4 linked regions of the Yarrowia lipolytica genome follow. The protein of the gene in region 1 interacts with the protein of each later gene in a pairwise test. Links are inferred from orthologs where the notes say so. Each region holds a gene or a part of one and is shown in the gene's direction. Other genes may lie near its edges.

Region 1 (9,196 bases):
CGACACAAGCAGTCCGTGCTGGCCAAGGACGGTCATTCAGTGCCCCACCAGCCCCAGGTCCAGATTCTCGGCCAGGGAACCCACTACAACCACGAGGGCGTCGACCAGCTGACCCTCACCCACCCCATCCACGACACCTTCCACAAGAACGTGCTCACCGACGAAGAAAAGGCCCAGGGATACACCCGGTTCTACCGATGGCACATTGACTCGGCACTGTACGGACTTTCCCCCCCTGTCTGCACCACTCTGCTCGGAATCGACGTGCCCCCTTCCTCCAAGCACCAGAAGGTCAAGTACACCGACACCGGCGACGAGCTCGAGCTGACCCAGGCCGCCACCTGCTTTGTGTCTGGCGCCAATGCATTCAAGCTGCTGTCGCCAGAGGACCAGAAGCTGGCTTTGGAATCTACCGTCGTCTACGCTCCCCACCCTTACATCTTCATCTCGCCTGCCAAGGCTACTGATGATGGTCTGACTATGGTCAGCGAGGGCAAGGAGATGGATCTCGAAAAGCTGCCCGAATGGGAGGAAAGCAAGGTCAAGCGACTGCCCATGGTCTGGACCAACCCCGTCACCGGCGAGCATCATCTGCAGGCCCACGGCTGTTGTGTCCACAAGATTGAGCGAAAGAACGGCGAGGTTTTGCAGCTCGAGGACGCTCGAAAGGAGTTGTATCGAATCATGCGACCCAACATTGATCCCAAGTACGTCTATGCCCACTCGTGGAAGGCCGGCGATCTGGTGCTGTTCCACAACCAGGGTGTTTGGCACTCCGTCACCGGTCAGTTTGCTCCTGACGAGAAGCGACTCATGCACCAGTGCAACATTGCTTCTGGAGTTGATCCCGTGTGCAACGCCTAATTTATGAGATTGATTTATGTATTCATGTAATAATTTATTCGTGTTAAGATGATAATGGGTACAGGCAAAAGTACATACTGTACTCGCGTAGAAAATCTGTTCCACATAACCCGTTTTTTATGGGTCTTTCTTCGACCATCTATAGTACTTGGGACGGACAGAAGTCTTCGTCCAGCTTATCGTGTTGACGGGGTCTCATGTCCACTTGGTGTTGGTGTTGGTGTTGGTGTTGGTGTTGATTTGGTCAGAAAGTTTCACTACAACACTCAGCGACCCGTGTTTGTAGAAACCACCAACGGCACGTACAAGTACGATATGATTAAATAATGCATTCTATGTTAATGTTGCGGTAGCTGCTACCATGGGACAATTAGGACTGTTCAGTGGACGCAGACGCAGACGCAGACGCCGACGCCGGAGCAGAAGCATCTGTTGTCGATGCAGACGCCGAAGCAGAAGCCTCTGCGGATGCAGGCTCAGTAGAAGCGGAATTGGACATGTCTGGAGGCTGAGGAGTTTCCGAGTCCAGCTTCTGCTTCTTTGCGTCGCCCTCTCCCTGCTCCTTAAGCTTGCGTTTCAGCAATCTCGCCTTGGTTTTCTCCACGTCACACGACCGCAGCTTCTTTCCAATCTCCTGCACATACTCCTTGGTCGGCTTGTCCACCTTTTGCAGCATGTCAACGCACTCCTGAACCAGCTTTGTGGTCAGGTTGAACTGCGCTGGGTCGCTCATCTTCACTCGCAAATACTGCTCGGTTATCTGGCTATTTGTGCACATCATGGCCGCGAGCGAGATTTGCGGAGGGGTAAAGAGGAAATTTGCGTCGGTTAGAAAGCTCAGAGACACGTACTTTCTGGCTCCATCGTACAGAGACCCGACTGTCGAGGCAGGAACGTGGGGCAGCGACGTCTGGATGTCGAGATAGAAGCCATGCAAGGGAGTGTATGCGCTCTGGGCGCTCAAAGAAAACAGCATCGACTGCATCACCACAAACTCGAGTTGCAAAACGTCCTTGGCCACCGCTCCAGTGTATTTGCAGAACTGGTTGATGGAAAAGAAGTGATTCTCGGCTTTGGTGGCCAAAAAGAAACACGTATGCAAGACCTTGACGGGGTCACTGTACACCATGACGGAGTTGATGAGGAAAAACTTTTTGAAGAAGAGTACAGCTGTTGCCTTCACTTTAGAAGGTAGATTGAGAACTTGGGCAATTCCCTCGCTCTGAGAACACATGTAATTGACCATGGTAAGTTCCTCGTCAACAGAGAGGATTTTGGCCATGGCGGGATCGAGATCCGCCGCTAGAAACGACTGTTTGACAAACTCGCGGCCGTTGGTGTTGGTTTGAAGCCGTCTAGCTGCCAGTTGCGTCGGCGTAAACGACCATTTTTTGAACTGCGACGATTGCCGGTAAATATCGTCGTCCGTGACCGTTTTTGTGGCCTTGGATGATGCTGTAGTGCTTGTCATTGAATGAGTATTGTAGTGTATTGATGCTGCTTAGTTCTGTTTCGAATCTTGATTCAGAATTATGTAAGCTGCGATGGGAAGGCTTGACCGGGGTTAGGGTTGGTTTCATTCTAAAAATTAAAAAAATAATTTTAGACGGTGAGACTTTAAACACGTGATCTGTATACAGCTCAAGTAGTACATACGGGTAGTAGCGCTAGTTGCAGCTGTACACCTTTGAAGAAAAACGGCGGGATTGTTGATAAGCTTAGTAAGCAAAACGAGCCGAGTCCGTTGGGTCCTCCGGTCGCTTATTAATCCAAGGGAGTGGAGTGTGCACAGCCCTGGGCAGGTTAGGGCTACATGCATGAGTTGCGTGGCTTTAACGATTATGTACTCGCACTGTACTAAAGAGGTTGGGGGCAGAGATGAGGTGTCACGTGTGTGGGGGTGTAGTTGTGGTTTGTTTTGTGTAACTTGAGACCGGTCGCCAAAAAGTATTTAATCTCTCTGTTTCCCGCGGTTTTCTGCTACCCTTATCGCTTGATGGCTTGTGCTCTGGTGCATCACTTTGTTGAGCCAATTCACTCACGCTGTATAGCTACTCCCACACACCTCCCACCACATAAGCTCACAACCATTGCTGTGCGCATCTGACAAGTCATCAACATAGCTCTGGCCCAGCATCGCGACATCGACAATGCCGTCTCTGTTCCACGGCGTGTACCAAGCGCTCTACGACTATGAGGCTCGTACGGAGGACGAATTGACCTTTTCCGAGAACTCGCTTCTCTACCTTTTGGAAAAGTCGTCGACCGACGAGTGGTTAAAGGCCAAAAAAGCTGGACCTGCGGGCACCAACGAAATCGGACTGGTTCCCTTGACTTACATTGAGCCGGCGCCGGCCAAACGACAAGCCTATGCTCTTTACGACTACGACAAACAGACAGAGGAGGAGCTGACCTTCAAGGAGGGAGACGCACTGACAGTCTACGATGACAGTGACAGTGAATGGTTGCTGGTGTGCCGCGGAGGAGACGAGTACGGATTTGTGCCTGCAAACTACACCGGCGACGCTCCGCCATCCGCGGCCCCTGCCCCCGTGGCTGCTATTCCCACGCCTGTTGCCGCCATTCCCACCCCCGCTGGCCAACCGACGACGCCCATCACCAAAGACTCACCACTACCTCCTCTTCCAAAGGATGCCTTCCCCCCGCCCCCACAAGCGTACCGACCGCCTGCCTCGACCACCCATGCGTCCACCGAGCCCGTCTACGCCAACGGACGGGACGAAGAGTCTCCCCCTCCCATGCCTGCCCGACCAGGCGGAAGCGGAAATGGAAGTGGACGGCCCTCTTCGGGAGCAGGCGACAGCCGAAGCCGAGGCTCGTCCGTGTCTCGATCTCGAAACGCTTCCTCTGCAAATGACAAGCCTTCCTCGTCTTCTGCCAACTTCTTCACATGGCCTGTCCAGGAGGTGGACGGACGGAAAAAACGAAAAGCGACTCTGGCGATTGGCAACGGCATGATCATGTTCTCCCCGGAGCGATCGTCCGGACAGCCCCAACAATGGCCAGTCAAGGATCTCGTTAACTACAACAGCGAGAAGAAACATGTGTTTCTAGACTTTAAGCACCCCACCGTCTCGTTTGATCTGCACCTGGGAAGCAAAGATACCGCTGACGAGGTGATCTACGCCCTTGGCGAACTCGCAGGAGCCTACAACTCTTCGGGACTCACCGAGGTAATGATGGCAGCCAACTCGGCCGGCCAGAAGCTCGGAAAGGTGCTGTACAAGTTTGACGCTCAGGGTCGAGACGAGGTGTCTGTGGAGGAGGGCGAGAATGTGTTCATTATAGATGACACAAAGAGCCGGGACTGGTGGATGGTGAAAAACTCGTCTGGAGTCGCTGGTGTCGTCCCCAGTAGCTACATTGAGATTGCGCCCAGCGAAAAGACCCTCAAAAAGGTAGTTGACCAGCAGAGGAAGGCCAGCGGCTCGTCGCGTGATAAATCACGTGACCGATCCCGTGACGACCGGTCTCGAGATCGAGCGGACAAGCGATCGTCTCGATCTTCCAGAGACGCTCCCAAGTCCAAGCCTGATCCTAGAAAGGTGCGAACTTGGACCGATCGGTCCGGTGCATTCAAGGTAGACGCCGCTCTGCTTGGATGTGTGGACGGCAAGATCCATCTGCACAAGGTCAACGGTGTCAAAATTGCCGTGGCCTGTTCCAAAATGGCCATTGAGGACTTGGAGTATGTGGAGGACGTGACGGGCGTTGATCTGGAGGAGGACAAGCCCCTTTCTCGAGATCGGGGCGGATCTTCGCGAGACCGACGACGGTCCACCTCTCGGTCCGACCGGCGAAAGTCGTCATCGGGAGCAGCGTCTTCTGCAAACGCTCCCAAGCCAACTCCCGAGTCGGACTACGACTGGTTCGGATTCTTTTTGGATTGTGGAGTCGACGTGCATGCCTGTCAGCGATATGCCACCTCGTTCACACGAGATCAGATGGACGAGTCGATTCTGCCTGAAGTGACTCCCTCCACTCTGCGATCTCTGGGTCTCAAGGAAGGTGATATTCTGCGAGTCACCAAAAAGCTTGACGAAAAGTACGGTCGAAGCGGCACTGGTACTTCTGCCAGCACTCCTGTGGGCGGCAACCCCTCCGGTGGCCTGTTCTCAGACACCACTGGTGCTCTGAAGAACAACACCAGCAAGACTCTTACCAAGGCAGACGATACCGATCCCTGGTCGTCTCTGGATAAGCAGCAGGCTCCTCCCCAGCAACAGGCGCCCCCAGTTCAGCAGCAGCCCCCCGTTCAGCAGCAGCCTATCCAGGCTCAGCCCACAGCTCCTATTCAGCAGCAGCCCATTCAAGCTCAGCCTACTGCTCCCATCCAGCCTGTTCGAACCGGCTCCATCAACGATCTGATGAACATCAAGCCTCTGCAGCCCACCCCGACATCTTCCAACCTGCAGACACAAGCTACTGGTGGTATCATGCAGCCCATCCAGCAGCAGTACACCCAGCAGCCAATGTCCCAGTCCACGAGTGCTCTCCCTCAGCAGAGCATGAACACCGGCATTCTTCCCCAGACCACTGGGCCACTACAACAGTCTCTTACCGGATCTGCTCCCGTGCAGAATCCTTTCCTAACTGGTGGTCCCAACACTCTTCTCAGTCAGCAGACTGGTGGGCTGGTTGGTGTCCCCACCGGCGGTCTTGTTGGTGTCCCCACAGGTGGACTTCAGGGCGTTCCTACCGGTTACACTGCTCAGAATGTTCTTGGCATGAACCAGCCTGCAAACACGGGCGGGTACTCCATGAATGCCATCACCAACGCTCTTGCCGGTGCTTCCCTCAACAAGCAGCAGCAGCAGCAGCAGCCCATGGTCCAGCAACTTACCGGAGGCAGCATGTTTGGCCAACAGCCCATGCAGCAGCAGCTGACGGGCTCCAGCATTTTCCAGCAGCAGCCCATGCAACAGCAGTTCACCCAGCAACAACCAATGCAACAGCAGTTCACTCAACAGCAGCCAATGTCGCAGCAGCTCACTGGTGGCAGCATTTTCAATTCTCAGCCGCAGCAGCCTTTTCAGCAGCAGCCTATGCAACCTCAGCAGACTTCCTTCCAGCAGCAGCAGCCCTTTTCCACTGGAGCTTCTGCTTCGCCGTTTGGAAGCCAGCCTACTACTCCTTTCGGACAGCCCCAGCAGTCTGCCGGTTTGAGCTACTTTAACAACATCCAGCCTCTGCAGCAGCAGCAGGCGTTTGGTCAACAGATGCAGCCGCAGCAGACCTTCCAGCCGCAGCAGCCTTTCCAGCAGCCTTTCCAGCAGCCTTTCCAGCAACAGCAGCAGCAGCCTTTCCAGCAGCAGCAACAACAGCCTTTCCAGCAGCAGCAGCAGCAGCCCTGCAGCAGCAGCAGCCGTTTGGTGGCCTGCAGTCGCAGCCTACCGGCTTTGGTTTTGGAAACAGCTCGTCACCCTTTGGAGGCATGCAGTCTCAACAGACCGGAGCACCTTCCACTTCTTTTGGTCAGCAGCCGCTACAGCCCACCGCCACGGGTCGTCAGCGAGCCAACCTGGCCTCTGCCACTCCTAACAATCCCTTTGGTTTTTGAGAGGCTATGTATGAATAATGTTATGATAATGTAATTGGCGACTTGTATGTGAATGGACGAGCTAATTGAAAATGTGTAACAGGTATTTTGATAACCAGAATGTATAATCTCATGTGACTTACAGTTGCTGCCATCAAGATTAAATAGATTAATAAATGATTTGTAACAGCAACAACAATAATGGGCATTTTTACTCCTCTAATCTCCAAACCGAGGTGTAGTTGCAGCAGTCAAAATTACGGTTTGGAAACAACATTAAGGTTTTATTGTCTAACAGAAACTGCATTTTGAAACTTTGGGGTCACGTGACCCGTGAGTCATGTTGAAACCTCCATTGCGATGTAGCCAACCCATCACGGAGCGGCATGGCGCAGCGGAAGCGCGCAGGGCTCATAACCCTGATGTCCCTGGATCGAAACCAGGTGCCGCTATGTTTTTTTTGCTTATGGGGGGAATCTTGTGGTTAGCGTGCTGGGTGTGGCAGTACGTCAAGTACATCCAGTAATGTCAGTGTGATTCACGAGTAGCCATTGCTGTGTTATAAATCGACTTTCGGAAAACCTGTGTAGACCAAAGATAGGCGGAGAGGTGTACTAGGGATGATTGGAGTCCAACTTCAGGATGTATTATACCTTGCAACCGTGGCTCAATAAACAGTAGCTGATGAGTATACATGTTGGCGAACGTCGGAGAACTCGCCTTGGCCAGAGGACCTGGGCCCTGTAAGATTTCTACTTGTAGTGCAAGGCTGTCAGTTGACCCAATTATCCTCAAAGGTAGTCTGCAATTCGTCATCTCAGACTGTCAAAGGTCAACAGGTTACGATTCCTGCGAGTATTGGTTCGTCCATCGGTCAATAGTAGTCACTTTGACAGTATGTTTTGTACTGTAACTGATGGTCGAGTTGTAAGCGCCAACCTCAGACTCTTTAGTTGAGGGCTACAAGTAGTTGGAGAGAAAGTTGTTCTGCGAAAGTTGAAAGAGCTCATGTAAAGAAGTGCTTGATAAAATGTACACTTGGGCCTTTCGAGTAACGTGACGGCCGAAACGGTACACTTTCTGTTTCACTATTCAGAGTTATTTTCGGTTTTGAAGTTGTTTGATGCATTGAAGTTATGCATTGTTAACTTGTTTTTAGTTAGATATTAGTTAGATATTAGTGATGTATTAGGAAAACATAAGTAGCCTCAACAGCATTTCAAACAAGTATTATGTGCATGGATGTACTGTACAGACAGTATGTACACTGTAGTAAGCCTTCAGCCTACAGGGACAGTGGTAAATGTGATGGATAACTGACAGAAATTGGCCATTCATTTCGTCTTCCACCCACTATCGGAACTCCATCTTCTCTACAGTCGCGATTTCAGTCTCAGCAATACATCACCACATGCGTCAAAATAAACTCTTGCAGAGACAAAATCACAACATCTGGTATCCTCACCATCACATCCAACAATGTCGGATTTCACACAAAAGGTGGAGAAGAAGTTTGGTGAGCTCGTGATCGAGCACTACTTCAAGAGCGAGCCGTTTGTGTACTCGTCTCCGCTCTTCAACACGATTGGCGACACGCGAAAGCTGTTTCCGGACCGAAAAAACATGTTTGATCGACTCTACGAAGACAACATCAACCGGGAATCGCTAGCCGAGACGCAAAAGCTGTTTCCTCCTTCGAATTACAACGACCTCGTCAAACTTGTGCGGCGGATCGAGACCGACAAGACCACAGAAACGCTCCAGGATGACCTGCAACAAAACTGTCTAATCTACTATCTGCTTCTGGACGCCAACCAGGAGGCAGCTGACGCCTACGCGACCGAGATTCTGCTGCCTGTGGCTTACAAGCATTTCATGAACGGCTGCTACGCCCTGGATCGAGCCGACATGAACACAGCTGTGGAGGAAATCACCTATCCAGGAACAGCTTCCACTTACCCTGACGCGGTTGTGCGGGCTCTCAACGCTCAGGCCGTTGCCCAGAAGAAGCGCCGCGAGGGCGACCAGCTCATTGTGCGGTACTTTGACGAGACCACACCGAAATGTGACCAGCGAGAGTCCGTGACCATCTACATCGCCTGCCTGGCGCGTCTGGACCCCATGATGGCTCTTACATACATCCGATCTCTCACGGCCAGCGCGCAAATGGGCGCCTTTGAGTGTCTCGTCAAAGCATGCATTGAAGAACGGTACCTGGGGGGCGTGTGGCGTCTGAGTAATCTTCCCTTTACTGACCGCGAGGGAGATTTGCTGCAACAGGCTCTGGACGCTGTCAGCACTGACGAGGATCTCAACAACGACATTCTGGTTACCCGGGCTCTGCATCTGGGCCAGGTTCGAAAAGCAAAGAGTCTCATTAACCTGGCCGTGGCGAAACGAGGAGGAGAGGAAAAGTGGGGCGAGTACGAGGCCACGTTGGCGCTGTACTAGACGCAGCATCAGCGGTCTAGATGTACAATAAATTATTCAGTTGTGTGGATAGTAGCTCTGGTATTTGATGCCAGTATCGTAGGTTCAACAAAACACGTGGTAGAGGTGATGGGCGAGCAGCGTCAGTACAATACGACGATACGACGATCTGAAGATATGACGATATGACGAAGTGACTGTCACATAGTCACTGGCGAGATTCTGTCGAGACCAAGTGTCTTTGTCTGCTTCTGACTCTGCTGTAATTTTCAGAATGCATTGTTGCATGATGCGATCCAACGAACAATGAAATCCGACACTGTCTTCTTCTTCATCACCAGT
Region 2 (7,246 bases), on another chromosome or scaffold:
GGGATCTCCCCAAAAATGATCTGAAGGAATGTGTCTGGAGATGTTGGTAAGGCGTAAAACAGTTTGAGGAGCCTACAAGAGCAATATGCACTTTGAATGGTGTTTATCGGGTACATATTCATCGATTGGTAGACACATGTCAGCATTTCTTGACCGTACGGTGGTAAGTATAATCTCAAGTAATATGATAACAATACTTAGATATATAGATAAGTAACTAGATGATGGTTCCACGCTGTACAGATTGTAGACAGGACTCTGGTACTTGTCAACTAGTGGAAATCTCATCGAGGGTAGGAACGTCTATTCTCATACATTCCTCTCTTTATCCTCGCAGAGAGTCTCAAAAATGCATCTCACTCGTCTGAGAGTTCCGACTTGAACGATTCGAGGTCTGAAGGCCGCTAATCCCCAGAGAACATTGTTCATAGAAGGCTCCAAGATGCTCCATAATCTCTCAATTGGAGAGATACAGACAGTAACTGTGCAATTGGTTCAGTGCAAGTCATTTGCTCAATAAATACATATAATACACACCCTCCTACCGCTTGAAGGGCTTACAAACACCATTGGTGTTCTTGCCACACACAAAACAGTTTTGCTTCTTCTTATGCTTGGCCAGAAAACACTTTTCGCAAAAGTAGTGACAACACTGAGTCACAACCGGACTCTTGAATTCCCCCTGACAGATGGGACATGTATCCGGTATACCCGAGTCGGCGCGCGAGGTAGCGGTGTCTGCGTCACGTGACACTCCTCCGGCATCACGTGGTGGGTCATCCTCTCTGTTTTTGATCTCCCATTCTCTTTCAATCTGCCATCCTGCCTTGTAATCTTCTCTCATGTGCAGAAACTTGCACGAGTCGCCGTATCCACAGAATCCCGTCAGTTTGTAGTCTTTACACACGTCCGGTTGGTAATCTTGGCTTGTGGTGCTCTTGATATTGGACGAAGCCTTTAGTCCTACTGTGGTAGTGGTAGTGGGTTTTGAGAAGGGGACTTTGTATGGGCCCTTTGACAACTTTTGCGAGTCATCCGAGTCGTCTTTGGCGTACAGGATTGTCTCCTTGGTTGCTTCGTCAGTTTTAGATAGGTTGCGGGAATGGGAATGGTCAATGGTGGAAGAGAAAGACGGAGCTCTCACTTTGGTGGAGGTGGCAACACTTGTTGGAGTGGTGCGTTTCTGGGTATCGTTTTTTCTGCGTTTGAAGGCGCTGGAAAGCGCGGATTCATCTCCAGAGCCTTCGGACGACGAATCCGAGTCGATTATGGTGGTTCGTTTCTGTCCCGCGTTTTTCTTTCGTTTGAACATGTTGCTGGAGAGTTGAAGTGGTGTGCATCAGGTTGGCGATTAACGTTTGGATGATGGATGATGTAGTTGGGAATTGGAGGAATTAGTTGGAAATTCGGAGGATGGTGACAAAATGAAGAAATCTAGTTGGAATAAAGGAGAACATTAGTTGGAAATTGAAAGAACGTAGTTGGGGATTTGATGAATTTAGTTAACAAAATGGAGGAATGTAGTTGGGGTAGTTGAGTGGAACGGAACGATATAACTCCATCAAGAACGAAGATTTTGATTGCAAAAGAAAAGATTCAAGTCACAAAAGAACAAGCAATAATCCCAAAATCATTCACCAACTCTCACCCCCCAGACAACAAGCCACAACCTGTGCTTCTGACAATGTACTGTACTCCACCACCGCCCAACTCATTAGCCAGGGACAAGAACTGACAGAAACAAAAAATACAACACTAATGGCCTTTCTAAACCACCCCTTAACTCCCCCTTACTAAACTCTGCCTCTACATCACGTGACCCTTCAAACTGCTCGAGAACTCCGCCTGATCCGCATCGGACCTGAAAACTTGTCCGACAAGGGTGTCGAATCGACCAAAATCGAAGCCAGAGAAAAACCAAGCATATCACGAGATTCGCCTCGTCGACAGCTCCATTTTGAGGCGTCCAAACGTCCCGTTCTCGGCCGGGCCAGCTCCCACGGTCTATTTTTAAATTCCCCGAACCATGTTAATACCTCACGCCAATTTTCGCTGAAACTTTTTCTGCAAGGGCAACCATATTGGGATATGTACAAGTAGCGGGAGTTCGGAGCAAGTGAAGCCATGAGAGAAAAGAACATGGGTTAGGTATTATTGGCAGTATCAGGGTCGGGATACTACCCGATCCGGATCACTACCCTTACCCTTACCCTTACCGGAATACTACCCTTACCGCCACCCTTACCGCCACCCTTACCACCACCCTTACCACCACCCTTACTGCTCCATTCGCTCCCCAATAAACTTTGCCATCACCCCAGATTAGAAAGAGCGTGCATTTGGGAGGTGGGGGCATTGGGTCCTAAAAGATACAGCCCTTCCCAGATTCAGATACCAGTAACCACTTACACACACGGCGCGGGGGATCAAAAACCGGCACAAAAAGACCAGGGGCTCCAGAGAGAGAGAGAGAGAGAGACAGAGAGAGACAGAGAGAGAGAGACAGAGAGACCCATTCAAGTGATATACGGGGAGAAACCATTCAAGAGCGCCAATTCCGACCAGCAACCGACGAGAACAGCCGTGGAATTCTGGGGACTGTTTATTTACATCCACGTGATACTGCCGCGGCGACATTTGAGCATTTAGGAACAGCAACGACGACCAGATCAACAGGCGCGTTGCACGTGATTTGACCATTGGTTTGAATTGATTGGAAATCACGTGATATCCCGTCTTGGATCACGTCGAGACTTGAGCAAGACCGAGGTGATCGACTCCCAACAGAGAGAGAGAGAGAGAGAGAGAGAGAGAGAGAGAGAGAGACGAAGCCATTTGTGACTTGCACGTCGAGCACGGACTGCTAAACTACAACACTGACCACACTGACCACTAAACTACAACATTGACCACATTCGTTTCGGTCCATCATTGGTGAGTAAATATGCCCTATCTCAAGGGGAAAGGTCAAACTCAGCTAAGACCGCCATACTAACTCAGCTCACAGACAGCCCATCATCGCTAACCGGTTCACTCTATCAATCCAATGATGGAAACACTACTGGAAAGTCTCATGAGCTCCGTCTCAGACGAGCCTCTTCTTGCACCGGACATTTCCATTCCTCCAGAAGAAGATGGCGACATGTCGGACTCGGACTTCTGGACCAAACTGCTGGATATAGTCTCTGTGAAGACCCACTCATATCCCGTGGTCGAGTCGGCACTGAAGGACTACCTCCTATTTGCAACTAAACATTTATCTGATTTTCTCGTCTCCGACAACGATCTCTTTCGAGCAGGATACAAGCTGACCACTTCTCCGATTTTCACGCTCCACAAAGCCTTCACCCGTCGCAAATTGATCGCCATGTTGACGTTGGCAGAGGAATACACAGACCTGGCGGCGGTGGTGTCTTTGATTCTGCTCATAGACTCTGATTCGCATCCCGCCACTCTGGAAATGATGCAAGAGGAAAACGCATGCCATGCGCTGACTCGGCTCTTGCTGACGTTTCAGAAGACGTCGGCTTTACGGCTCAGAAGAGTGTTGCTCGAGCTCACGTTTGAAATGTGCAAAATCCAGCGAATTTCCACGTCAGACTTGGAAAACATTTCCGACAAGTTTATCGACTCGCTCTTGAGGACCGTTGTCAACGCAGACAGAGACGATACCTCGCTGTACGACGCTTCCGTCATGAAAGTCTTGCTCTGTCTCAATGAGCAGTATATGATTGCAGCTTACGATGAAGACGAAGAGTCGGGGATTTATTCGAGTAAAGTGCTGGATCTGATTTCCCTAGATATCGACGGATACGTGGAGTTTGGCGCAAAGTTGGTGCTGTTACTGAATCGAGCGATAGATACATGTCTTCAGATCATGGGTCTGAAGCTGTTGTATTTGTTGTTCACGAATGAACCCACTTATGAGTATTTCTACACAAACGATCTGTTGGTGCTCATCGACGTGTTCATTCGAGAGCTCCACGACTTGCCCAATGACGAAGAGCAGCTCATTAACACGTATTTGCGAGTTCTCCACCCACTTATGGTCAACTCCCAAATCAGACACGAGCCGTACAAGATTGAGGGTCTGACTGATGTGTTGGAGATGCTTTCAGGTCACAAGGGAAGTAGTACTTTCCTTCCAGTATCAGAGACGACATTACGACTGGCTGTGAGATGTCTCGGAGTCCCGTGGCTGGAGTACACGTTCCCGTCTCCCATGAGCACCGTTCCCCCCTCTCCCAGTTCTTCTATCGGCTCGTTCAACGAGGAGGAGAGCCCCTCAAAGATCCGAGTGCCCAGCATTGGTATGACCGATTTCAGTGGTACTCGGCGACTTAGTCAGAGTTCTCTGGGCACCAATTCGGCCATGTCATCCACCACATCGCTCATTTCCTCACTCAAGCTTGCGCCACCGCCTCCACCGTCACGTGCGTCGTCCAAGGGGCCTCCCGTTCCTCCTCCGTCTAGAGGCAAGTCTCCGATGCCGCAAATATCACGGGTCAAGAGTCCAGCTCCTCCTCCGCCGCCGAGCAGGAATTCTCCTGCGCCGAAGAAGGACGTGAAGGAGTCTCGTGACAAGAAGGACAAGAAGGAGAAGCCGCGGCTGCCTCCCAGCAGAAAGAAACTGCTCGACATGAGTATCAGAAATACCAGCGTGGGAGATTTAAGTGTTGCCGAGCGGGAGTAGGAGATGGAGTTATTGGGTCAGAGCATGAGTATGACCAGGCAATCATCCTTGAGGGACGGTCATAGGTAGAGATAGAGGCTGGTCTTGTGATACTCTAGTTCCATGGTTCCATGGAGTCAGGGCTCGCATACCATTGAATCATCTCAGAGTCTTGTCACCGTTCATTTGGTAAGAGTCTTGACAATGGCAAGAGTACACAACACTGACAAGAGGGTCTATGTGAGGCAAGTAAAAGGAAATGGACCAGGAGGACATAACAGAGTCCAAATCAGCATCTATTTATACTACCACAATACTGTATATAGTTCAAAACACAATCCAACAATATTAGAGGAGTGAGTAGCTGTAGAACCGTCGCCAGGAAGGTTTCTGTTAGATCAATCAGAGTATGTACTACAAGTACTGTAGTATCTACGAGTAGCGGCGGCCAGTCTCTGGTCTGACTTCGATCTGGTGTCGCAAATGGAGGGCTAGGTAGTGTCACATTTCTGAGCCCTAAAGTGGTTGAAGAGACATGAGAAACACACCGATCGATAGCCCTCTGCGAGTTCAAAACGAATACATCATTTGCTTCAGAACTGATTGGTGAAAGGTCTCTGCTTACTGGAGCCCTGAAGAAACGCTGTAGAGCGGGAACAAAGGCGGTATTGTTTTCATGTCGATTATGGCCCCAGTTTGAGTGCCGCAATACCAAGGTCCGAGACATTGACCACCACCGAGGAGGTGGCTGGCATGTGGAGTGCGCTCTCATCGAGGGCGGCCCCGACACATGGAGATCTTCAATGTACCGACGCCAACGCCAAGTGGTATTAACCATTCTGGTTCTGTCAATGGCTCTCGGGAGAGGTTGAAACACTGTTGGGTTCGCCAAAGCTGAGATTGAAGATAACATCTTGCCGTTAGTAGGGACTAGTCGACCAGGGTTTAAGTCATCGTAGCAGTCACATTATGTAGGCAGTATATAACTGACAGTGACAGACTTGCCGACACCGTTGGCTGTGATTTCCGGTCTATCTCTCCAGCCTCCCAGGAATCAGTGTCGGTAGTCTTTGGTTCGGACGACTTGATGTCTCATTACCGGCGCTGGCTGATCCTCCGGTACCTCAATCAGAGAAAACCCGACCCACTCATCCCCCACTACAACGGCTTTGCGCTGATGGAATGAACTCATGGATCGGGAGCGCCATGTTCCATGCCCGCGGCCCGTGACCGGGAAACTTGACTACTTCTCGGCCGACAGACGAGACTTCAGAGAAAATACCGGCTTCATTCTTGCCTCAGAGAATCCCCCGTCTCATTCTTGCCTCAGTCTGTGTCAAGCTCTTCCTGGCTCGCGTTTCGTGTCTTTCCTTCATCGAATTCGACCCAGGACACAACATGAGGGTTAACGTAGTGGTCGGTGCAATTTGACCTCGTGTCACCTTCTGGGTCACTATGGGCCTGCAGCTGTGTGATGTCCCACCATGGAAGTTTCTCATCGACGCCCACTCGCTGTGGCACACTACTACCCTGATCCCCTGATTCCTGTAGTACGAGGAGCTGATGGCTGGAGACGGAGACGTTGCCATACGAGAGAGAAGTGCAAGGTCCTTGGTACCGTTAGGATTATCGAATTGGTACCATTGGGGTGGCCGAATTGGTCATGGAGTTCTTCCTCTCTTTAACTCCAAGAAAATGCTATGAATACATGAATTAGGCCTTTGTAGCCAGAGGGTACTTTCTAGGCCGATCTTGAGGACGTCTAACGGCGCCCTGGTATCGCCGGTCTCGACGTGTGGATCTTGATTTCGTGGTTCTTGGTGCTGCTTTCCCCACCGTGTTGGTCATTCGAGGAATGGGGTAGTCTGCCTCAAACTTGGAGTACGGTAGTCTATCGTGGACTCAACCTCGGCATCACTCTTGCTGTCACCATCCTTCTCCCCTTCGAGTTTCTGCTCTTCTTCGATCCCATAACCGTCCTTGTCGTCCACTACGACGATCCTCCATCCAGGCTCCAAATCCTCTTTAGTAGGAACTTTTGTGAGCAGCCTTTCCGGCATCGGAGTCCAAATCAGCTTGGATGGCGCTGCTTCAACTGCACATTGTTTTTGACTACCTTATCGATGGCCACTTCAAGCGAATAGCTGTCTCAGGGTTTCTGACCAGACGAGTGACTCAAGAGCAGAGACGTCATCTGGTGTTGTTAGTCTTGAGGAGCAGTGGGATAGCTATCGCACTGACCAGAGAGTGGCAGTCGGTCGGCTGTCGGGTGGCTGTCGAGTGGCCAGCTCGGTCGTTTCGACCTCAATACCTGACAGCCATCTTCTCCAGTACGAGATCTGTTTCAAGATGAAGGCGTAGTATACTGGCGGTTGAAGGCGATTTTGAGCTTGAGCGCGGGCAGATGGGACCTTCTCAGGGGGCTGCGGGTGTTGGTCGAGGAAGAGTGAGAGGAAGAGTGAGAGGAAGAGTGAGAGGTTAGGGATGGTTGAGTGAGAGTGAGAATGAGAGGTTGAGTGAGAGGAAGAGGTTGAGTCAGGATAAAGTGAGGGTATAAGACGGTATATATAGAAC
Region 3 (6,513 bases), on another chromosome or scaffold:
GTTATATACAAGAGGAGAGGGAGATTGACTGAAAGTACTGTATGTACTGTAGCACGATAAAGCCAGATCTGCTACTGTCTGATCAAGTAATTGAAGGGACGGGGAAGATATCTGTTCTAGTTGCTGTTATATGGTCTTTTTGCGGATCTTCATCAGTTTGTGCTTCGACTAGTTGTCATATCTAACTACCATCCACCTTGCGCTACCCTAACAACACCAACCACTTTTACTTGATTGACCAACAGCAGGGAAGTAGACCGCCAGTGCTCTGAATATGGCGATTACGGGGGGTCATCAGTCTGAGCCTTCAGGATGGAAACTCGGAGCTTTAGCTGGGCCTCAATCTACGCCAAAAGATACCAGAATTCCGAAAGAAACATAAAAGTCCCCGGTGGGTATCATTGGAACCAAAAGATTGATATTAACAAACCCCCTCATTCCTCCTACATAGACAACGGTCTTAACTCATACTTTACATATCTTGCGCTGAAGACGCCTCATCACGCACCCAATTTTCGAAAAGCAAAAGCCAGATAGAACCCACAAGCCTCTCGCTGGTCTCCGTCAATGCCCAGAGACCCATCCTCCTTGAATACCTTCATTCGCTCAGCCAATCGAGCCATGTTTAGATCGTTCTTCACCTCCTCATCAAACATTTCCAAAAATGGCTTCTTGTAGATCAACTCCAGATTGTAATCGGAAGCCAGGGCACGAAACACCTCAAACGGAACAACGTACTCGGGGACATTGTTGATAGCGTCCTGCAGGTAAAAGGTGTACTTGTGTCCAAACGGAGGTCGGAAGGCCTGGTCCTTGGTGGGAGGAGTGTTGAATTCCACCTTGTAGACCGAGTTTCCAAAGTAGCCGTATCGCTCCTCTCCCTCCTTCGGCTCACTCTCCTTCAGACCACCGGCAATTCCCTCCAGAATCTTGTCGGAGTTGGGAATGGTGCCCAGAAATACGCCGTCTCGGCAAAGTGAGTTGGACACGTTGGTCAACATGCTTCGAGCCAGCTCCTCAGTAGCAAAGGCATAGTGCATGGCGAACTGGGAGGAAATGCAGTCGACTGGAAACGCTCGAGGATTGATAATGTCAATAAGAGGGGTTCCAAAAGCATCAGCAACATGAAACTCGGCATAGAACCGAGGCCGAGGCTGCATGTTATGATACCGCTCCGACGCCTGCTGCACAGACACATCGGCAATATCGACTCCAATGTAATCGCGAACCCGCTGTCTGCTCCACTTGTTCAAATCTCCTCCCTTACCACATCCCATGTCAATGACACGCATTCCAAACCCAAGCGACTGCTTCTGAATCAAAACAGACTTGATGAAGTTGTTGAAGTTTCGCAGCTTGATAATAGGCGAAGACTGACGAGCAACAACACCTCGCTCAGGAGCCTGGTTGTAATGGTTTCGAACCAGAGAGTCGCCCACCTGATCCCCTTGCTGAGCAGCAGCCTGCGCTCGTGCCTCCCGCTTCTCCATCTCTGCACGATATTGAGCAGCTCGCGCAGCAGCAGCCTCCCGTCCTCCTCGCTGCGAAGGCCGCTTCTGCTTACTGGGAGCAGGGGCAGCGGGATCGTGCGGCTTTGGCTCGCGAGTGGGTGATAGCGACCGCTCACGTGACTCCCGGACATCTCGGGTCTCACGCGAATCGCCCGAATCATATCTCTCTCGCTCTCGGTCATGTCTGTCACGGTAATCACGGCTGTCACGGCTACCGCGGTCGTAGTCACGTGCCCGGTCGTCGTACCTGTCTCTCTCACGTGAGTCGTAGTCACGTACCCGGTCGTCGTACCTGTTTCTGTCTCTGTCTCTGTCGCGCGAGTCGTAATCGCGGGGCCTGTCTCTGGAATCATATCTGTCTCTGTCGCGAGAATCGTACCTGTCCCGGCCTCGGTCTCGGTCTCTGTCTCGGTCTCTATGGTCACGTGAATCTCGATCCCGATCCTGCCGCTCACGTGACTCCTTCTCACTGTAGTCCACATAGCTGCCCATGTCGGCCCGAGGAGCAACCCGATCGCCAGCCACTCTCACATCCTCGCGCTCCCGTCGTTTGAGCTGCGGCTTGGCAGAGGCCGCGTCACGTGATCCCGAGGTGGTTTCCTTGCGGGCGATTTTTGGCAGGTAATTGTATGCTGGTCGTTTTGTTTCCGACGTTTCTTGCTTGGGATCGTTTCCGTCGGATTTGGTGGAGTCGGACTTGGTCTCGGGGGTTGCTGAGTCAGCAAGAAATTCACCGCCTGCGATTTCCGCGGCGTCTCGGGCGTCAGCTGACTCTCCTTCGGCCTGGTAGCAGTCGCGCGCTGGGTCGTACATTGTGTTCGGTGGTGTTTTGGATGTGCAGAAAAAGATGGTGATGGTGTAGTTGGTGGTTTAGAGTTTCCGAAAGTGGTGAGGGCTAAACATGGATAATTCTGGGGATACTGGGGCCAAAATTGATATTTTTAGGATCCTGGCGGTTCGAAAAATACAATGGTAACGAAATAATTGTGTTTTAGTGCCGTTTAAACGATGCATATGGATTAGGTAATGGGAGGTCGGATACGTGAACCTTAAACGAATTAGGGTTTTATTACCCTCGGCATTTTGGTGAAGTTTTGGATATGTAGATTTGGCTGAAAATTTGGATGGGAAGTGCTGGAAGCTGGCGGTGGTGGTGGATGCAATAATCATCAAATTTGGAGCATTATTGGGGGAGTTTTGGGGGTTGGGTTTTGTTAGCAGTTGTGTCTACTTTAAAGTGAATGGTTGGGATTTTTCACTGGACGAAATTTAAATAATAAAATAATAAAATAAAATAAAAAGAAATAAATGAAATGAACTAATAAAATACATAAAATGAAATGAACAGGAAATTAAATAAATGAACAGAAATAAATAAAATAAAATAAACTAAAATAAACTTAAACTAAACTAAACTAAAATAAAATAAAATAAAATAAAATAAAATAAAATAAAATAAAATAAAATAAAATAAAATAAAATTACTCAAGAAATAAAAAAATAAAAATTAAAAAACTAAAAAAATCTACAACTACAGAAACTCCCTCTCCCTCCTACACACCCAACAATCTCCTTCCAAAATTTGACCCTCATCCTTCTCATAACCTCTGCGGTGAATCTTTTTACATGTGTCATGCACGTCTAAAAAAAATCCCGTCCTACATCTACACACATACACGCACAAACATTTTGCGACCAGAATGAGCGGCTACGAGACTCTACCGCTGAAAATGCCCAAGGGCAACACGCACTATCTGTACATGAAGAAGGACGACAATTCTGCTGCGTCGGAGGACTCGACGATCTTTGTGTGCAATCTGCCTGCGGACTCGACTCTTTCTCACATCAAGGCCTTGTGTCAGAGTCTGGGGGGCAGCATTGTGGAGAGTTTTGAATGGGTGAATGTGAGTCGCAATGTGCGGGCCGAGTCGCTGACACATGGTCTTTCTGGCGGCTGCGGTCGTATTCACATGGTGGATGCGGCTTCTTGCAACCGGGTGTTGAGTCAGGCCAAGAAGAATGCTACATGTGGAGTCAAGTGGGACGCCAAGCTGACGATTGGCGGCAAGCAGCGATACCAGTTGCTATGGAAGTACTGTTTCCCTGCGCCCGACGATTTGCAGGCCGAGGTGGACTATTTCATGGAGGAGTTTGCGGCCCGAGAGGAGGAGGAGAAGAAGGTGGAGAAGACGGGCCGAACGGTGGTGGACGCCGACGGATTCACCACGGTGGTCAAGACGCAGAAAAAGAAGTCGTTGGCCATGCAGGAGGCCGCCAAGCAGCAAGCCGAGGAAATGAAGCTCGCTGAGATCAAGCGACGAGAGAAGCGGGAGAAGAAGGATTTCTACCGGTTCCAGATCCGAGAGTACAAGAAGGAGCAGATGACCGACATGCTGACCAAGTTCAAGGAGGATCAGGAGAAGGTCAAGCAGTACAAGGAGAGTGGGCGGTTCAACCCGTATTAGGGCGCAGTAAGAAGCACTTCAGACTGCGTTGAGAACCGCGTTCAGATAGCATTCAGACAGCCTCTGACAGCATTCAGACAGCCTCAGACAGAATTTCATTTTGACAGCCTCAGACAAGTGAGACGTCTAATCTGACGATTTGCTGCTCACTGAGAGCAGTTGATGGCCACTGCTTGCATGGTGTGGGTGGCTCAACCGCGGTACTACGACCACGGTACCACGAGGATACAAAAGACAACAGACAGTTATAGATAATGGATATTGGTTATGAAGCAGTGTAGATACAAGAGGGGAGTTCGAGGATGGAGACTCAGGACGAGGCAATGATGATCCAATGCGTATAGGAATACGCCGACGATGTTTCAGAGCTTGATCTTTGGTGTGACTCGGATCTGTTTCAAAATAGATCTCTCACCCACGGATTTAATCCGGTGTAACAGTGTGTATGAACACTGTTGCTCGTCTCACAGCGAGCGATAATGCTCCGAAAACAGCGGCTCAGGGTTCAACTGGTTTTTAAAAGCGGCCCGTTTGTGGCTGCCTCGGTGGCGGGTAAAGTGAGCAGGTGTTTGGTAATCTCCATGTCCTCAGAATGCACTTTTGATCAACAGATGGTGGAACTTTTGAGCCAACTGTGGACTGAACAGTGAGCAACAGTGTGGGTCAAATATCGAGAAATCAACACAAACCAGCGTCGGTAGGATATCTCCGACAGCGCAAGCCACAGCGGAACCGTGTGCCTGATTGGAGGCGTCCACAGTTGATCTTCGAATCCTAACTAAGCTATCAGGTTAACTGTCTAGAGATAAGAGATGAACTGGGGACTGTGAGGAGGTAGTCACGTGGGGATTGGGTCAAAGTGACATCAAGAGATCAGGAGAGTGAATTGAAGACCGATTCACATACGCCCCGACTCTTTTGGTCCTGCTGTCTCCCTCCAAAATGCGCAATATCCAGTCCTTAAGGTTCCTTGTAGATTAGATAAGGAAAAGTTTGCGGATATCGTGGTGTTTTCGAGCTGGATCGACAGATACATCGTTGATGTTGGGCTCATTCGAAAGCGGTTGATCTCCTCATCCCAACGGTCCACTCATAACCTCGAAATTGTCTCCACAACCGTCTCATCTCAACACCCCTCATATCCAGTTTAGCTTTCGCTAGTGTCTGGATAAAATCATAAAACTGCCAGACAAAATGCCCACACAAGGGTATATATATCTCTGGCGAGTTGCTGAAGATGACTTTTGGCCATTTCTGAAAAATGAGCAAGTGCAACGACTCGAAATCGCTCGAAAAAACGTTCCCGGACCCTGCAGATGAAAAGCTGGACGTGGAAGTAGGAGAGGTCAACGATATCACCCTGGATGCCGCTACAGACAAACGACTGCTGCGCAAGATTGACATGTATCTGTGCCCAGTCATGATGCTCGTTTACGCGGTCCAATTTATGGACAAGAGCACCAATGCCACCGCTTCGGTTATGGGTCTGAGAACAGACCTGCATATGGAGGGCAACGACTATTCATGGTCGGGAACGGCCTTCTACCTGGGATATCTAGTGTTCGAGTTTCCAGCCGTGTACATGCTCCAACGACTACCTTTCATCCGAACTCTCTCAGCCTTCATCGTTCTCTGGGGTGTAGTATTGTGTCTCCATGCTACCCCCAACTATCCGGGATTCATTGCTCTGCGAACCCTCCTGGGCATGTTGGAGTCGGCTGTTACGCCGGCCTTTGTCATCATCACGTCTCAATGGTACAAGCGCGAGGAGCAGTTTCTTCGGACGTCTTTCTGGGTCGGATCCAACGGCCTCGGGATCATTGTTGGCTGTCTGATGGCTTATGGACTAGCCATCAACCACCATCTTCCAATCCATGGCTGGAAGCTCGTTTTCATCATCACTGGTGTCATCACCATTGCCACGGGGATTCTGATTCTGTTCCACTTCCCTGATGACCCCTCCAAGGCGTGGTTTTTGACCGAAGAAGAAAAGAAGCTAGTGGTCATCCGGGTGCGAACCAACCAGGGCTCGTTTGCGAACAAACAGTTCAAAAGAAACCAGTTCATCGAAGCGTTCAAAGACCCCAGATCCTGGCTCTACTTCTTCTACTCTATTGCCTCCAACATTCCCAATGGCGGAATCACCAGTTTTGGCAGCATTCTCTTTTCGGAAACCCTGGGGTTGGGACCCGTCAGAGGCCTGCTTCTCCAGACCCCCCAGGGAGCGGTGGAAATCGTGGGATGCGTGCTGTTTGGTCTCTTGGCACAATACACCCAATGGCGTCTGTTCTGGTCAATTGTCGCCCAGCTGATTGCCACAGTCGCAATGTGTCTGTTGGCGTTTCTGCCCCACATCCAAGCCGCCGGCCTAGCCGGCCTCTATCTGCTCTCCGTCTACCCTGTTGGCCTGGTCTGTATGCTGTCGTCGGTGGGCTCCAATACAACCGGACACACGAAAAAAGTGACTGTCAACGCCATAATGCTGGTGGGCTATTGCGTCGGCAACATCATTGGTCCCCAGACCTTCCGGGCCGACG
Region 4 (7,632 bases), on another chromosome or scaffold:
GCTTGGCGGCGGATCCGTCAGTCCACTGGGTTGCTCGGAGATAGCTAGTGGGAAGATCGGATATTGGTTTGGCTGATGTTTCGGTGGTGGATTTGCTTCTTCCGACTGCAAAAAGGAATTGCACTGTACCCAGCATGCCAATATGGGACAAGAACAATACCAAGAACTCTGACGGCGTGTGACAATGAAAAAAATGTTAGGTTGACAAAGTCGCCTGTTGGCTGAGCCACCATCCCACGTCGGATCTCTACTGCGAGCAACTCTATCGTGTGTGTTTCTTGTATACACCTTTTCTCAAACACCCCCAAACGCTACTCCATCTATGGTGTCTCCCCTGCCAACTCTATAAGCGAGGTTGGACACGGTTCTACGGCAGAGTTTGGCGCTCCAGATCGGGAATAATACGCCAGCTCCCGCATTGCCCCCAAACATTGGCCATTTTGCCCAGTCTTGCTTTTTGATACGGTCTTTTGTGAGTACTCTATGTAGTGTACTGGATGCCGAGGGGAACTTGTAGGAACTTGGACCTTAGGAGGGACTGTGGACATTAGACGACGCCAAATCTCTAGCTATTGCAGGTGCTAATGAAGCAAACTGGGCTTGTGTGCTCTTTGGTCAAGTCCGTGGTCTATAGCTGTGTCTCGATCAAGATCGTCATAGGTCTCATTATGAAGCGAGGTGGGCTAGGTACTTGGGCGATATCTGTAGTACTTAGCCGATGCAACATATCGAGACTGAAACAAGCCCAGAATGAAGGAGTTGGTTTTGGACAGTGGCGGCCCCAGCGGTTCCTGGACAATGTATACTCCTCCGTCCACCCTCGGGGGGACACACACACAACCAAGAAAGTGAATTCAAACAGAAACAGAGATTCATTTCGCACTAGACCGAAAATGGAGTGTTTCTTTGGCATAATGGGAGTGGTGGATCCTGTATTATCTCTAGTCCGTGGTTATTTTCACTAGAACGACACAGCCACATGATGGACAAACATTATCACGAAGCATGGCCAATCTTCTCCGGGAAGTGATGTCATAACACAGGGCTACATTGGTGGCGTCGGAGATTGAGGACTAGTCCGCGAGGATGGTGGGAGGAGGGCAAATGTGCCCGTGGTGTTTTGGTTCCTTCTACAGTGCTTTGTTAATGGCTTCAGAATGGTCGCGTTTTTTCTCAACTATTTACTCGGCATATATCAACTATTAGTTGGCACTTTAGTTAAGACAGGGAAGGTTGCGGGTTCGAATCCCGGTAGTGCGTCAATAAAGAATGTTGCTGTTTTCTTGGAACAGCTTCCGAAGAGTCGATGTGTGTTTTAAAGTGAATTTTCCTGTTAAAGGGTCTTGATAGAGCTGAGAATGAATCTCAAATTGCTCTGGTCGTGTCTAACTATCGACTGACAATGGAGACCATAGGTCTCAGCGGAGCCATGAGCTCTGTGGAGCCAGAGGATTCTTCAAGACGTCCACAACCGTCCACCAACGTCTACAACCGTCCACCACCGTCTACAACCGTCTACAACTGTCCAAAATCCGTCTAATAGTATACGATTCACGACAGACATTGAGAGCTATTCGGGAGTAGTTTTGTCTCGTCTGTCCAGTGACTAATGGAACCGACAAAACGCTGAATGACAGAAAAGGAGCCGGAAGGAGACGTTTGGACTTTAGAAACAACAGCTACAACTCGTTTATTAGCCCCGTTTCCTACTTTTCTTAGTAATGAGACAGTTGCGACCACACAAGTCCACTCTAGTATGCTAAACACTCGAACTTCAAGCAAAGCCAAGAGTACAGCTCGACGAGTTTTCAAACTGACACAGATGTGTATATCAGAGGCTGGTTTGTGGATTGTCCACAATTCAGTTCTCTGACCCTTCTACCAAGGGTATTCCTACTCCGGAACCAACAATACAGCAATACCAGTAGAACCAGTAGTACCAGAGGATGGGGAACAAGTAATGGCATTGTATCAGCAAAGGTGGACTCAAGAGAATAGTGAGAATTGATAATTTCACTCTACTCGTTAATATCGACAAGTCTCGGCCTGAGCTGGACGTGAATCATTCCGAACTGGAGGAGTAGAGGTCCAGGACATGGTTTCCGTACAATGAGGGTCTCCCACGGTCCATATTCTGGAGTAATTGCAAGTTTAGGCCAAATCGGATCCATTAAAACCCTGGCAAAAGTGATGGGTGTACTCTGAACTCCATCTTATGCGTTTCAGCCTACTACTGTGGATCAGGCGAGGTTCATGTATCGAAAAGTCGGGATTTAATAGATATATAAAGTCACCGAGTTGATAGATATCTGAAATAAAACCTTTCAAGCTGTTTCTGCCATTACTTGGGTGAAAAAATTGTACCCAACTCCCTTCCACTTCACGTAAGTATTCCCCAACTAAAAACTAACAGGAAGTCCCCGCGTTGTCTGATTCAGATCATATAAAACAGGATAGTAGTTATTGGTTGCACATATTTCTTATGGTCCAGGCTATCCCCTTCACTTTCAAGCCATATTATATAATTTCTTCAGTGATATCTCCACTGATCCTTTCAGAATATATTACTTTACAATTCAACAAAGTTTGAACAAGGTCTAACAAATGCCCAACTAAACAATCACAATGCACAAGATCCAATCCAACTGCACAATTACTACACCCATATGTGCAAATGTGTTACATCTATGATCTAAATTCACTTCTTATTCACGAGTGCTCACTCCCCTATCGTTCACGTGATCCCACTCCTCATTTCTGTAAAACATGGAACGTAGACAATAATATGAAATGTCCATCTTTTTAACCGGAAAAGATATGGGAATTCAGAAACTTCCAATCAATTCCCCGTCAGTCATTTGATCTATCTTTCAACTCCCCAACCCTCCAGCTTTTCTCTGTCATAAATTATAAGTTGCCAAAAATTCACCCCAGTACAGAAATCAGACCACATCTTCCCCAGCTCGCTCAAAATCCAATCTATATTGAAACCGAGACCTTGAATCGATTCTTACTTCGTCATTCACTCACAATACCAGCTCTCATAATCCCCCTTGGGGTATGTAAATGAGTTCCATTACAATACTCAGAGGGATAAACAACATACATGTCTCTATCACCCACCAGAGATACCCAGAGAGTATCCAAACAGTACCATTCGAGTCTCAGGGCCTCATTCTCTCAACTGCTATCTTTTTATTCCATAGAATCTCTCAAATCACTCCAAATCACCCCAAATCCAACCCTCCTCAAAAATGACTACAAAACCACCCTAGCTTCTCCTGTGGATGACCCTTGACAAATCTGGAACAATAACTCGAATCCCTATACTAAAATTACTCATTTATTCAACTTGCCAGTCCCCTATCATTTCTCAAAAGCCCACAAATCGCTGACTCATCGCCATCATCATTCAAAACAAAACATCTTCCCGACTTTTCCTGTAAAAATCCCACAACAAATCGCAAAACAGAACTGAATTTGTCATACAATTCTCGCCCATCTTCACCCTGGTTCCTCACTCAAAACCAACATATATCTCCCTTTGAAAACACACCAAATCAGTGTGTCCAGGTAGCACAGCTACAGCACAGCACAGCACAGCACAGTACACACGGCAGTTACTTACGTAATGCACCCAAAAGGACACCACGAATGTCACACCGTGTCAATTGTCACGTGTCAACGGACCCGACCCAAAAAAACAAACCGCGTCCGCTTCCCCATCGACCCTCCACCTACCTCCATCTTCTCCCCCACACTCCCCAGGGCTAGGGTTAAAATTTTCACCCTGAGTTAAGGTTTGCACTTTGAAAAACCACCCAGCATAATTTTGAGAATCACCACGCAACACTCACCACGACACACACAATGAGTGATCAATTCAACCAGGACTTTGCCAACAAGGCCAACATCAACGAGGGCCAGGGCCAGGGTCAGGGCCAGGGCCAGGGCTACGCTCCTCAGCAGTTTGTGCCCGGTCAGTCGTTTGTGCCCGGCCAGGCGTTTGTTCCCGGCCAGTCTTTTGCTCCCCAGGGCGGCTACGACCAGTACGGCGGCCAGCAGGGCGGCTACCAGGGCGGCTACCAGGGTGGCTACCAGGGCAACAACTACAACCAGGGCTACCAGGGCTACCAGGGCCGAGGCGGCTATTCCGGTCGAGGTCGGGGCGGCTACCGAGGAGGATACCAGGGTGGCTACAACAACTACAACCAGTACGACAATCAGTACGGCAACTACGGCGGCTACGACAACCAGTACGGAGGGGGCTATGACCAGCCTGAGGAGCCCCAGGAGAAGACTCTCACGCTGGAGGAGTACCAGAAGCAGAAACAGGAGGCTCTCAACAAGCTCAAGAAGCCCGCTGCCAAGTCTGGCGGAGCCCTCAAGATTGGAGGCGACAAACCCAAGTCTTCCGGAGGAGCCCTCAAGATTGGAGGAGACAAGCCCAAGACTTCGGGCGGCGCTCTCAAGATTGGAGGAGACAAGCCCGCCGAGAAGAAGACCGGAGGAGTTCTCAAGATTGGCGGAGACAAGGACAAGAAGGAAGAGTCCCCTGCCCCTGCTGCCGAGAAGAAGGAGTCCACTCCTGTTGCCGAGAAGAAGGAGGCTACCCCCGCTCCTGCCTCTAAGGAGTCTACTCCGGCCCCTGAGAAGAAGGAGTCCACTCCCGCTAAGGACGACTCTGCCGCCAACGCTGCCTCTGCTGACGCCCTGATCGCCGCCCAGAACGCCGAGATCGACCAGGAAACCATCAAGGAAATGTTTGGCGAGACCAAGGACCACATGTCCATCATTTTCATGGGCCACGTCGATGTCGGCAAATCCACTCTGGGAGGCCAGATCCTCTACCTCACCGGCACCGTCAACAAGCGAACTATTGAGAAGATGGAGAAGGAGGCTGCCGACGCCGGACGACCCGGCTGGTACCTGTCTTGGGTTATGGACATCAACAAGGAGGAGCGAGCCGAGGGAAAGACCGTCGAGGTGGGCCGGTCGTACTTTGAGACCGACAAGCGACGATACACTCTGCTCGACGCCCCCGGCCACAAGATGTACGTGCCCTCCATGATTGGAGGAGCCGCTCAGGCCGATGCCGGTATTCTCGTCATCTCTGCCCGAAAGGGAGAGTACGAGACCGGCTTCGAGCGAGACGGTCAGACCCGAGAGCACGCCATGCTGGCCAAGACCCAGGGTATCAACAAGCTGGTGATTGCCATTAACAAGATGGACGACTCGACCGTCAACTGGTCCAAGGAGCGATACGACGAGTGTATCAGCAAGCTGAAGCTCTACCTCAAGGGTCTGGGCTACTCGGACAAGACGGAGATCACCTTTATGCCCGTGTCCGGTTTCACCGGCGCTAACGTCAAGGAGCGAGTCTCCAAGGAGGTGTGCCCCTGGTACGACGGCCCCTCTCTGCTGGAGCTGCTTGACTCGTTTGAGCTCGAGCGGAACCTCACCGGCCCCTTCATGCTCCCCATTTCCAACAAGGAGAAGAACCTGGGTACCATTGTGGAGGGTAAGATCGAGGTTGGCACCGTCAAGAAGGGCGACAACCTGGTCGTCATGCCCTCTAAGGTCCCCGTCGAGGTCACCACCCTTTACAAGGAGACCGAGCAGGAGGTTGGCGGCGCGTCTGTTGGAGAGCAGATCCGACTCAAGGTCAAGGGCATTGAAGAGGAGGAGGTTCAGATTGGACAGGTTCTCTGTTCTGCCGCCCAACCCGTTGCTGCCGTCACCGTCTTTGAGGCCCAGATTGCCATCACCGAGCTCAAATCGATTCTGTCGACCGGTTTCTCTTGTGTGATGCACATCCATACCGCTGCTGAGGAGGTCACCTTTACTGCTCTGCTGCACAAGCTGGAGAAGGGTACCAACCGAAAGTCCAAGAAGCCCCCGGCTTTTGCCAAGAAGGGCATGAAGATCATTGCCCGGCTCGAGACCCAGAACCCCGTCTGTATGGACGAGTTTAGCAAGACTCCCCAGCTGGGTCGGTTCACTCTGCGAGACCAGGGTCAGAGTATCGCCATTGGTCGAGTTACCAAGCTGTTGTAAGCAGCTCATCTGCGAGCGTGACGAGCCGCCGCTGCCCGTAGGTTTTTCGTGCCAGCGGTCCAATAAGGAAGAATGTAAAAATTGTGTTAGTAATGAATGTTACTGTTTTAGGAGGTTACTGTTATCAGATGGATCTGTGTAGAGTAGAATAGGCCATGGCTGGAGGCATCCAGGGTCACGTTCAGCAGTTTCAGACAAGTAAGGTGCTGTACTTCTTGATGACCCTTCATGTCCCAGGCCAACATGAATTCGGGTCATAGCGGGAGCTTTTGTACCACAAAACGTTGAATTAATGACACCAATGGAATCAGGAGGCGATTCTGAACACATTGATATGTTATTTTTATCTGGAAAGCGTCTCTCCTTGGTTGTACGTTCCTTCTGTTTCCATTGACAAATGCACCTATAGGTGGGAATTTTGTGTGGTGAGAGGGTGCGATAATGGTATAAAAGGAATCAGGGCAAGATTCTGAACAGATGGGTCAACTGTTTGCTATCTCTTACAATACTATTATTGAACTATTTCGTTAAAACTGTCCATTATACCTAGACATGCGACAGTTTTTACCTAGTGGAGTCCGCGAGTCGCTCAAACCCCCAGAAGACTTACAGTACCATGTTTCTGGATTCCAGGCCGTGGTTGTATTCAACTACTCCACTCTGTCACCCACTTGACTGGCGTTTCAATCTATTGATGAGACAGTCCCCACTGCAGACAACTGACGGACATTTTTGGAACAGTATGTCAACAGATGTGGGTCCAACTTGAAGTCACGTTGTTTACTCCGAGTCCCGGGACCAACTACAGCCATTCTAACATCAACCAAGGGTTCCCTTGTGCTCCTATACAGCAACACAACCGACCGACTCTGGACCAAGCCACTGTTTCACTTATAGCTCTGTCTGCTACAAGTTCAATATGTCAGGTTGGCCAAGTTGCGATCAAAAAGATACATTTCAGACGCCCAAGAAGCCGCTAACGCGCTTTAAGACAGGCCCAAATACCCGACTATCGTTTCCCCGAGAAATGTTTTAGCAGTTTAAGGGTCGTGAGACACGAGCTTGGCTATGGAACAAACACACGGGCTACAAGGAGACATGTAGGCTCTGTAGTGTGCATTATAGCCACTTGGAATGAGCGATAGCCACTTGGTTGTCTCTAGTGCGAGCTATAGCGAGCTATAGCGATTTGGTGTGGGTCTACACTCGCTACCAGCGCCGCAGTAGTTTGTTCTTAGCGGATTAGTGTGGATCCAATGCGTCAAACAGAGTCAAACAAGACCACTTTGGAGCACCATGGAGCAGCGTCAATATAACTCCTGGTGGTCTTCCTTGTACCCCAGAGTTTAGCAAGACCCCAGGTCCAATAGTGTAGTTGGTGGGGTGCAGTAGTTGTGTAGTAGGACTCGGGTTTAGCAGTGTTGGCCTTGGGCTTGACATCTGTAAGGGAAAGTGCGCCATCTGGGCTGGCTTGCGGATGCAGTACTCAACTCGTGCTGCTAGTGTCAGTCAGATGGTCAGAGCTCACCAGATGACAGGGTGCTCTAGATACTTGATTGGGCAGTTTGGAGCAGT

The links.
Region 2: the proteins of YALI1_A06672g (region 1) and YALI1_C30884g interact in a two-hybrid assay, tested with the Saccharomyces cerevisiae proteins (2 studies listed by BioGRID). The link is inferred for Yarrowia lipolytica from reciprocal best matches to the Saccharomyces cerevisiae genes SLA1 and LDB17.
Region 3: the proteins of YALI1_A06672g (region 1) and YALI1_C18892g interact in binary tests that used the Saccharomyces cerevisiae proteins (3 or more experiments, as listed by UniProt). The link is inferred for Yarrowia lipolytica from reciprocal best matches to the Saccharomyces cerevisiae genes SLA1 and RRP7.
Region 4: the proteins of YALI1_A06672g (region 1) and YALI1_B11083g interact in a two-hybrid assay, tested with the Saccharomyces cerevisiae proteins (2 studies listed by BioGRID). The link is inferred for Yarrowia lipolytica from reciprocal best matches to the Saccharomyces cerevisiae genes SLA1 and SUP35.

Annotation. Positions count from the first base shown.
Region 1 is NC_090770.1:664,280-673,475, forward strand, and holds YALI1_A06672g (uncharacterized protein), read left to right. Parts: upstream 1-3,014; coding exon 3,015-6,479; downstream 6,480-9,196. Other genes in the region: YALI1_A06640g (uncharacterized protein), read left to right, coding at 1-864; YALI1_A06666g (uncharacterized protein), read right to left, coding at 1,235-2,335; YALI1_A06721g (uncharacterized protein), read left to right, coding at 7,904-8,875. UniProt on the Saccharomyces cerevisiae protein: Component of the PAN1 actin cytoskeleton-regulatory complex required for the internalization of endosomes during actin-coupled endocytosis. The complex links the site of endocytosis to the cell membrane-associated actin cytoskeleton.
Region 2 is NC_090772.1:3,084,254-3,091,499, reverse strand, and holds YALI1_C30884g (uncharacterized protein), read left to right. Parts: upstream 1-3,046; coding exon 3,047-4,693; downstream 4,694-7,246. Other genes in the region: YALI1_C30910g (uncharacterized protein), read left to right, coding at 222-362, 416-520; YALI1_C30901g (uncharacterized protein), read right to left, coding at 542-1,312; YALI1_C30859g (uncharacterized protein), read right to left, coding at 4,962-5,585. UniProt on the Saccharomyces cerevisiae protein: May be involved in protein-linked oligosaccharide phosphorylation since the deletion reduces the negative charge of the cell surface.
Region 3 is NC_090772.1:1,885,990-1,892,502, reverse strand, and holds YALI1_C18892g (uncharacterized protein), read left to right. Parts: upstream 1-3,211; coding exon 3,212-3,976; downstream 3,977-6,513. Other genes in the region: YALI1_C18901g (uncharacterized protein), read right to left, coding at 501-2,324; YALI1_C18878g (uncharacterized protein), read left to right, coding at 4,456-4,590, 4,634-4,720; YALI1_C18872g (uncharacterized protein), read left to right, coding at 5,238-6,513. UniProt on the Saccharomyces cerevisiae protein: Plays an important role in the synthesis of 18S rRNA but is not required for the 5.8S and 25S pathway. Is necessary for the cleavage at site A2. Is required for efficient association of RPS27 with the pre-ribosomal particle.
Region 4 is NC_090771.1:1,104,508-1,112,139, forward strand, and holds YALI1_B11083g (uncharacterized protein), read left to right. Parts: upstream 1-3,870; coding exon 3,871-6,057; downstream 6,058-7,632. Other genes in the region: YALI1_B11111g (uncharacterized protein), read left to right, coding at 6,610-6,719, 6,773-6,992, 7,053-7,202; YALI1_B11120g (uncharacterized protein), read left to right, coding at 7,571-7,573, 7,629-7,632. UniProt on the Saccharomyces cerevisiae protein: GTPase component of the eRF1-eRF3-GTP ternary complex, a ternary complex that mediates translation termination in response to the termination codons UAA, UAG and UGA.